Linked DNA regions of Callithrix jacchus. The protein of the gene in region 1 purifies or fractionates together with the protein of each later gene. This does not show direct contact. Links are inferred from orthologs where the notes say so. Each region holds a gene or a part of one and is shown on either strand. Other genes may lie near its edges.

Evidence for each region.
Region 2: the proteins of TAP1 (region 1) and TAPBP purify together in Homo sapiens (co-immunoprecipitation; 6 studies listed by BioGRID and IntAct, with this or other methods). This does not show direct contact. The link is inferred for Callithrix jacchus from reciprocal best matches to the Homo sapiens genes TAP1 and TAPBP.

The regions. Positions count from the first base shown.
Region 1 is NC_133505.1:41,119,665-41,123,990, reverse strand, and holds the start of TAP1 (antigen peptide transporter 1), read left to right. Parts: upstream 1-1,249; 5' UTR 1,250-1,292; coding exon 1,293-1,890; intron 1,891-2,423; coding exon 2,424-2,538; intron 2,539-2,686; coding exon 2,687-2,817; intron 2,818-3,605; coding exon 3,606-3,811; intron 3,812-4,229; coding exon 4,230-4,326. Other genes in the region: PSMB9 (proteasome subunit beta type-9), read right to left, coding at 643-702. UniProt on the Homo sapiens protein: ABC transporter associated with antigen processing. In complex with TAP2 mediates unidirectional translocation of peptide antigens from cytosol to endoplasmic reticulum (ER) for loading onto MHC class I (MHCI) molecules.
Region 2 is NC_133505.1:41,554,111-41,558,709, forward strand, and holds the start of TAPBP (tapasin), read right to left. Parts: upstream 2,851-4,599; 5' UTR 2,813-2,850; coding exon 2,776-2,812; exon of another isoform or gene 2,637-2,775; coding exon 2,466-2,636; exon of another isoform or gene 2,249-2,465; coding exon 1,988-2,248; exon of another isoform or gene 1,395-1,987; intron 1-1,394. Other genes in the region: ZBTB22 (zinc finger and BTB domain-containing protein 22), read right to left, coding at 3,770-4,599. UniProt on the Homo sapiens protein: Involved in the association of MHC class I with transporter associated with antigen processing (TAP) and in the assembly of MHC class I with peptide (peptide loading).

The DNA.
Region 1 (4,326 bases):
CCTTGGGGCTACCATCTGCCCCAGGCTCCCATCCTAAGCACAGTCCCCCAGTGGGCACATGGGAGTGGGCAGGGAAGACACAGAAAAGGGAGCAAGGCAGCATCTGGGTCAAGGAGGGGCCTTCCTGGGTCAAGCTAGGGAAGGGCATCACAGGTTAACGCAGAACCCCCATTATCAGTGCTTGGGTTAAGAGTTACCCAGTGGCAAATTTATCAAAAGTCTGCGTGATGAGTTGGTCCTTCTCAATTAAGTGACCATGTTTCCTTCTCCCAAGTGGTGTTCTGCTTCACCCCGGTACCATTTCCTCATCTTTTTGCATGTCCCCAACCCCCTTTCTTGATTTAACCAGCCCCCACTGTCCCGACCAGAGTGAAAGCGAAAGCGCTTTAGAGCAGCTTCCCCTTGACGCTTCTAGCTAAGAGTCAAAGCACCCCCCTTTCCACCAGCCTTGCGTGCCTTCAGGGACACCCTAGACGACCCCCCTCAGAATAGAAATACGCTATGCTCATTATGCGTTGCAACCGCTGGCTGCTAGAGACTACCACCCTATTCTCAGGTCAGTCTCTGCAGTCACTTCTCCGCGCTTCCCGGCCGCTGCACCTCCTCCACCCCTCTGCCAACCCTCAAGCCCAGACCCATTACCCCGGTGTGGACTTCTCCTGCCCAGGGTAAGTCCCCAGTTGGCGCTCCAACCCGCAGCATCCCTGCCAGGCACCTCGCGCTCGTCGCCGCCTGGGGCACTAGTTTCGGACCTGGGACAGCGCGCAGCGCGCAGCCGGCAGCCCCGCCCCCCGCGGCACCGCCAGGAGGCGCTTGGGTGCCGCGGAGCGGCTTAGCGCCCGGCGCTAACCTGTGTAGGCTGGATCTGCCCGGAGACAAGTGACGAGTCAGCCCCGCCCTGAGGCTGGGTGGGAAAACTGGTACTAGTGGAGAGGCAGGAGGCAGGGAGAAGCGGGAGCGGTGTGCGTGATGGAGAAAATTGGGCACCAGTGCTGCTCCCCAGATTCTCAGATTTGATTTCCACGCTTGCTCCCAAAATAATCTGGGCAGGCCACTTTTGGAAGTGCGCGTATCTAGTGGGCAGACTGCCGCTTTCGATTTCGCTTTCCCCTAAATGGCTGCGCTTCTCGCCAGCACCGATCAGTCGGTTCTGGGACTTTCCGAGAGCCCCGCCCTCGCTCTGTCCCTCAACCGCCGGTAGGGGCGGACTCAGCGGTACCCAGAGACTCCCGCCCAACCGGAGCGAGGAGAGTTTCAGGTCCGGCCCGGACCCGGACGGCGTCAGCGTGCCCATGGCTAGTTCTAGGTGTCCCGCTCCCCGCGGGCGCCCCTGCCTTTTCGGAGCTTCTGTCGCGTGGTGGGGGACAGTGCTGCTGCTTCTCGCCGACGGGGTGTTGCTCCGGACCTCGCTGCCCTGCATATTCTCCCTGCTGGTGCCCGCGACGCTGCCGCTGCTCCGGGTCTGGGCGGTGGGCCTGAGCCGTTGGGCCATGCTGTGGCTGGGGGCCCGCGGGGTCCTCAGGGCAACAGTTGGCTCCAAGAGCGAAAATGCAGGTGCCCAGGGCTGGCTGGCGGCTTTGGAGCCTTTGGCTGCGGCACTGGGCTTGGCCCTGCCGGGACTTGCCTCGTTCCGAGAGCTGGTTTCGTGGGGAGCCCCCGGAGCCGCGGATAGCACCAGGCTACTGCATTGGGGAAGTCACCCCAGCGCCTTCGTCGTCAGCTACGCGGCGGCACTGCCCGCAGCCGCCCTGTGGCACAAGCTTGGGGGCCTCTGGGTGCCCGGCAGTCAGGGAGGCTCTGGAGACCCTGTGCGTCGGCTTCTAGGTTTCCTGGGCCCGGAGATGCGCCGCCTCTCGCTGTTCCTGGTCCTGGTGGTCCTATCCTCTATTGGTAAGGGGAACGCAGGGCGCGAGGGGGCGACACAAGGGGACCGGGCAGGAAACTAAGGTAATTGTCAGTGAGGTAGAGTAGCGTGGGTTCTGGGAAATGTGCAGCAGGGGAAGAAGTCCTAGCGTGGGTCTTGGAAGACCACTTCAGTGTAGAAGAAACGTCATTGAACTGGAGGGAGTCAGGAGTTCTGGGCTCCGTTGCTGGCCGGGTCTTGATTCTCTGGGCCACGGCGGGGGCGGGGAAGTTCTTTGCCCTGGGGCAGAGGGGCCGGGCATCCTCATCTTTAACAGGAGGCTTTTCTGCTTCATGATCTCCAGCCTTCCTAATGAAATCCTGAAAGTTCTGGGAGGCCAACCACAGGGTAGTGAGTTCCAGGGCAGCCTATTTAGGTTCGGGATTGAGATGTCAGTGTTTCCTTTCTTCTAATGCCCTCTAGGATAATGGTGAGGGGGAGGAGGCGTGGTGGGGCCAGTCTGACTGGAACTGACCTGTCTAGACAATATTTGTGCGCGACCTCTCTTCTTTTTCCCCAGGGGAGATGGCCATTCCATTCTTCACGGGCCGCCTCACTGACTGGATTCTACAAAAAGGCTCAGTGGATACCTTCACTCGAAACATAACTCTTATGTCCATTCTCACCATAGCCAGGTCTGGGGGTTGAAAATGGCTCTCACTCTGCAAAAGAGGGAGTTGGAATTTGGGGCTGCTGTCCAAAACGCACTTACATGGGGATACCTGGGACCTTCAGTCTGTTCCCTGAACACACCGTGACCCCCTTTTTCCGGGCTCTTTCTAGTGCAGTGCTGGAGTTCGTGGGTGACGGGATCTATAACAGCACCATGGGCCGCGTTCACAGCCACTTGCAGGGAGAGGTGTTTGGAGCTGTCCTGCGCCAGGAGACAGAGTTTTTCCAACAGAACCAAACAGGTTTCTCATGAAACTCTTTCATTATACACCATGTACTATTTATATCATACATCTGCTTTGATCTCCCACCTCCCTCCTCTCTCTCTCTGACACGCATACGCGCACGCGCGCACACACACACACACACACACACACACTGTTCTTTCTCATTCTTGATATACCTCAGGAGCAAAATATTGTTGTCCTTACTTTGAGAAAAGCCTAGAGTTTTCATCAAGGATTTTCTCATAAGTCTGTTCCTATGTATCCTTAGATAGAAACCATAGAATTTCAAACCCAGAAATTTTGAGCTTATAGAGACCAACTGCCTCATCTGACAGAGAAGGAAACTGAGGCTGAGACCCTAAATGCTGAAACCGCACAGTTACATGTGGCTAGAGACACACCTGGGGTCTCTTGATTCCCAGTGAGGGCTCCACAGACTGGCATGCTTCCTAGCAGCACCCTCCTCCTCCATTTCTGTTATGTGACCAGTTTAAGCTCTTCCTACCTGTGTGTATAGCATGGGACATACAGGTTCTTTAGGGAACAGAATGCTTTCAGGAAAATGGAAATTCACATGTGCATCAATGTCTTTATAATAAAAATTAAGGTCTTGGGTCAGGCCTTTCCTCTCTAACACTCATCCTCCCTGCACTGAGATTTGCAGAACCCCTAGCCGTGTTTCCTACAGCCTCCTTAGAACCCCCTGTTGACGCCCCTCACCTTGGTACCCTGGCTCATTGTTAGTTCCTCTCCTCACTTGGAACCTGTCTGATTCGCCTCACTCTCTTCTCCCAACCCTGCAGGTACCATCGCGTCTCGGGTAACAGAGGACACATCCACCCTGAGTGGGTCTCTGAGTGGGAATCTGAGCTCACTTCTGTGGTACCTGGTGCGAGGCATGTGTCTCTTGGGGATCATGCTCTGGGAGTCAGTGCCCCTCACCATGGTCACCCTGGTGGCCCTGCCTCTGCTTTTCCTTCTGCCCAAGAAGCTGGGAAAATGGTACCAGGTATGTTCATGGAGTTGGCCCGCTCTAAACAGACCCTCATCTCCCAGAGTTGGTAGACTCAGTGCCTCTAATATTGCTCTCAGTCCAACTTTCCTGGTGCGCTTACTGATTCTCCATCTTCACGGAGCGCCCTGTCCCTGTGATCCATGTTCCCAGGTTGCTCAACATTACTCTCTATGCTCTCTAGGTCTTCCTTTCTAGCACAGTCTCTATTTAAGAATTTGATCCCCAACCTGTTCTGAGTCATTTTCCTCTTCCTTGTATTTCTTTAGTATCCAAGGGGCATAGCTGTGCCTCTTTCTCTTCTTTCCCTTTCCTCTGCCTCTTCTCACCTTTAATTTCCAACTAGGTAACTCAGGTATTAATGTCCCTGATGGTTTGCCAACCCATGTGACCGCTGTTGTCCATGTCTCCACAGTTGCTGGGAGTGCAGGTGCAGGAATCTCTGGCAAAATCCAGCCAGGTGGCCATTGAGGCTCTGTCGGCCATGTCTACGGTTCGAAGCTTTGCCAATG
Region 2 (4,599 bases), about 430 kb from region 1:
TTGCACTCCAGCCTGGGTAACAAGAGCGAAACTCCGCCTCAAAAAAAAAAAAAAAAAAAGACTATCTGTGGCAAATCTGCCCTGAACTTCCTGGAGAGCAGAATCTACATCAGATCATCTTTGTGACCCTGAAGAGTACCCAAGGCCATCCCAGAGATTCTGATTTAATCGGTCGAGCCAAACATGGATTGACTCAGGTTTCAGTATATTTTAGAAACTTCCAGCAGGATTTTTCTTTTTTTTTCTTTTTGAAACGGAGTCTCACTCTGTTGCCCAGGATGGAGTGCAGTGGATCTTGGCTCACTGCAACCTCCGCCTCCCAGGTTCAAGTGATTCTCCTGCCTCAGTCTCCCAAGTAGCTGGGACTATATGCACATGCCACTGTGCCTGGCTAATTTTTGTATTTTCAGTAGAAAAACCCATTGGGTTTCACCATGTTGGCCAAGCTGGTCTCAAACTCCCAATCTCAGGTAATCGACCTGCCTCAGCCTCCCAAAGTGCTGGGATTACAGATGTCAACCACCGCACCCAGCCCCAATGTGATTCTTATTTGCAGCCTGCACTGAGAACTACTGAGTCCTAACTCATTCTTGGTGCTAATAAGTATTTATTGAATCAATGAATAAATTAACACAGTGCCTTTTTTTTTTTTTTTTTTTTTTTTTATAGAGATGGGGGTTTCACCATTTTGGCCAGGCTGGTCTTGAACTCCTGACCTTGTGATCCACCCACCTCAGCCTTCCAAAGTGCTGGGATTACAGGCGTGAGCCACCGCGCCCGGCCACAGTGCCTCTCTTGATAGTCACAACAAGAAAGGCAGCTGGGAAATAGTACCTACATTTTACAGTTGGAAAAACAAACTCAGAAAGCAAAGAACATTCTTATCATCACCTCCATGAAGCCGGTAGCCCTAGGAAATATTTCTCCCCCAAGCCCTGACCCCAGAGAGCGCCTGTCTACACAAGAGCGGTGTTCCTCAATTTCTGCCAGGGTTGGGGCTTAAAACTAAGAATGGAGGTATAGGCAAAGGTGAGGGTTTCAGTGTGGGGTTCGAGTCTGTCTCCCTGGTTCTGTGGGTCATTCTCAGAGAGGAGGGTGGAGAGGAGGGAGGGTGCAGGGCTTGGTTGGGGTTTACCTGTCCATCAGGCTGTGTTGCTTACATAAAATCCAGATAGAAAAGTTAAGAACTCTACCTGTATTCTACTCCTGCCTCTGCTGCCAGGAGAGAGAGTTCAGGGACACCGGAGGGAATGTGCAGATAATTCAAGAATGAGGAGGATCTGACCCGGATCCTCCTCATTCTTGAATTATCTGCACACTCCCTCCCGCGACCCAGTCCAGCAAAGCATCCGACCCCTGGGCCTCAAAGTGCAATGCACCCTTTAATGCAATAGGAACCATCTGATCTCCCGCCGCCTCGCTCCGCCCACTCCAGCCCACTTGTTTTCGGACCACAGAGAGGCAGCACATCCCCACAAGCGGCTGTCAGGGAAGGTCCAAGCGCTAGAGTGCAAGAGCCTTTGCTTTGAGGATTGCCGCAGCGCCGGGTGTGGGAGAAGGTGGGGCTACGGTTTTCGAAATGGAGTGAACCTCAAAGCGGAGGGTGCCTAGCAAGATACAGATCTGGGAGGAGCAGAGAAAAAAACGCTCCTGCTTCTGGACTCCTCCCACCTCGCATCACCTGACAAGTCTCTCAAGGTCTGGTGTAGAGAAACCCCACCTTTCCAAAGCCCCGCCCTTCGAAACAAAGTAACCTCCTCCCCTCCCAGTCGCAGTTTTTTGTTGTTGTTGTTGTTGTTGTTTTAACTGAGTGAGGGCTAGAAGGAGCAGTAGAGATTGATTGATTCTAGCCAAGCCATCTCTCTTAACTAAAAAAGGAAACGGAACCCCGATTGGCGAAATGTCTGGCTCAAGTACATAAAACGAGTCCACCGGCTGATCTGGACCCTTAGAATCTACCCATCCTTCTCCACCTCCCCTCCCGTACCTGTTGCCATGGTGATGAGAACAGGCTCCTGCTGAGGCTCTGGTTGTGGTCGCAAAAGGCTGGAGAGGCTGAGGACTGGGCTGGACATGCTGACCATCAGCCAAGCCCCATCCAGGGCCCGCGGGCAGTTCTGTTCCGGGGTCAGGCCGCTGGCCCAGTTCGCAGAGGCAGGGAGAGGGACAAAGCGGCTCATCTCGCAGTGTGGCGCGGGGGCGCCCCGGGGATACCGCCTGAAGGCAGCCTGGAGGGCGCCCGCGGGGTCTGAGTGTAGAGAAGGAAGTTGCAGCTGTAGAGTCAAGGGCGGGAAAGGGGCTGGAAGGACAGGGTTCGCGGAACTTCAAATGTACAGACTACCCCATAGTGAGACTCACTTTATAGAGGGGAAGCTGAGGCCCCGAAGTCACTGCCCGATCTAAAGAGGAGGGGGTTTCTGTGGAGGTGACAGACATAGGGGAGCGGCGAGTCCCTAAAGACTCACCGTGCACATTGAGGTAGAGCTCAGGGTCGAGGTCCGGCCGGGGCGGCGGTCCCCCAGTCCCCTGGCGCAACAGCAGTGCAGCAGGTCTCTTGGCCAGGCCCTTTCCGCTCGCATCCTCCACGAGCCAACACTCGATCGCCGCCGGTCCTGCCGAGACGGCGGTCGCCAGGCCTGGCATATAGGGGCGCAAGTCAGGGGCGGCTTAGATGTCTGGTGACCTGCCCACTCCCACTCTGGCGTCGGCGCCAGTGGGGCCACCTCCCTCCGCTTCCCTCTAGTTCTTGGGCGATGAGTCGCGGGGTTCGCTCACCCAAAGCTATAGCAAGGACCAGAGACAGGGACTTCATGGCGCTGCGATCTCCTCAGCCATGAAGCCTCCTCTTCCTCCTTTCACTTTCACTTTCCTCCAAAGGACGGCAGGAGGGGCGGTGGAAATCCCCGCTCTGGTTAGGTGTGGGTGCCTGGGAGACCGGTATTTCCCTGCTGGCCAGGGAGGGATCCGGGAAGAGCCTCTCCAGTTATCGTCAGGACACCCCAGCCTTGCCCTCCTGGACCACCCAGCAGCCACGAGTTTCAGCCCTCCCCAAACCCAGCACCCCCCACCCACTCCTGTGTGCGCCCTCCAGCATCCACTTTCCCGAGAACCATTACTCCGGGTTTTCTCCACCTGTGCCGCGTCCCCAGCAAACACATGGGTTGTCGGGAAGCCAAGTAAATGACCAATAAATATTTTAATCACTGTTAAAAAAAATAAAAACCTTGTACTCCTACTACTTACTCCCTCCTTGTCTCCACCCACTCCTCTAAGAGAACCGAGTTGGGGATTTCCCCGGGAGGTGGGGTGGGTGGGGAGAGACAGGGTAGAATAAAGAGCGCATCCTTGAGATGGGGTAGGTTTTAGGACAAGGGTGGGGCTCAAAGGCCTGGTCCCAAGACAACACAAACACAGACTTCAGGCACAGACTACAACCACCTGACCCTTGACCCTGTGACTGCAGGATGCACAACACGCCCCCTCTCCCTCCCTCCATGTGCACCCTACTCTGTGGAGCCGGGGCTTCAGTGTACCCATAAGAGGGAAAGGAAGGGCTTAGTTCCAGAAATTCCTTGGGAGGAAGGGGTTGAGGAGTAGAATGGGCGGGCGATGGTGCAACTGCGGTTCCCCTTCCCAGCATATATACAAGTCCATAGAGATAAAGGAAGACAGTAATTGTGGTGGGAGACCCACTGGGGGCCAAACCGCCGTTGGATCGTGCTTATTCCCTCTTCCCCAAAAGCTACCCCCACCCCAGTAGGCTGCCCCTTCAGTTTGCTCCTCCGCCTCCACTGAAGCCCATCTCCACCTTGTGGACGCTGGGTGGGGACCACACTCGTCTGCTGGACGGGGGCGTGGCCGCACTCGCCTCGTCGCCGCTGCCCCCACCTGTTCCGGGGGATTCTCTCTTGGCCGGCAAGGTTGGCCCCGTGGGCGTCCCAGGCCCAGGTCCAGCCCCGCCGCCACCCAGGCGGTGCCGGCGCTCACAGTGTCCTCGGTGGCGCATGAAGCTGTCCCGCCACATGAACTTCTTGGCGCAGACACCGCACTCATAGGGCTTGAGACCTGTGTGCGTCTTCATGTGCTCAGTCAGATGGTGCTTCATCTTGAACTTTTTGTTGCACACGGGGCAGTCAAAGGGCCGCAGATTGAGGTGCATGTTCACGTGCCGGTCCCGCATGCTCTTGTGGGAGAAGGCCTTCCCACAATGGCACAGAAAGATCTTATTCCCATCCCCACTACCAGTCCCTCCAGGAACCCCACCAGCGCTACCAGGGACCCCCAGGCCTCCCACGGACGTGCCCCCCAGGGTCACTGCCCCGTGTTCTACTTGGTTCCCTGGTGGTTGGCCAGGAGCCTGTGAGGAGGATGAAGACGATGGGAAGACCAGGATCTGGTTGCCCTGCATGTCCAAGGGAAGGAGCGGTCGAGGAGCGTGGGAGGGGGCATAGGAAGAGGGAGTTGGCCCCCCTGAGTCATCAAGACCTGCTCCAGGACCCCCACCCTCATAGGGGCCAAAGTCATTGGAGGACTCACAGAAGTTGACCTGCTCCTCCCCCTTGTCTGGGGGCTCACTCAGGGTACGGACATCACTTATGC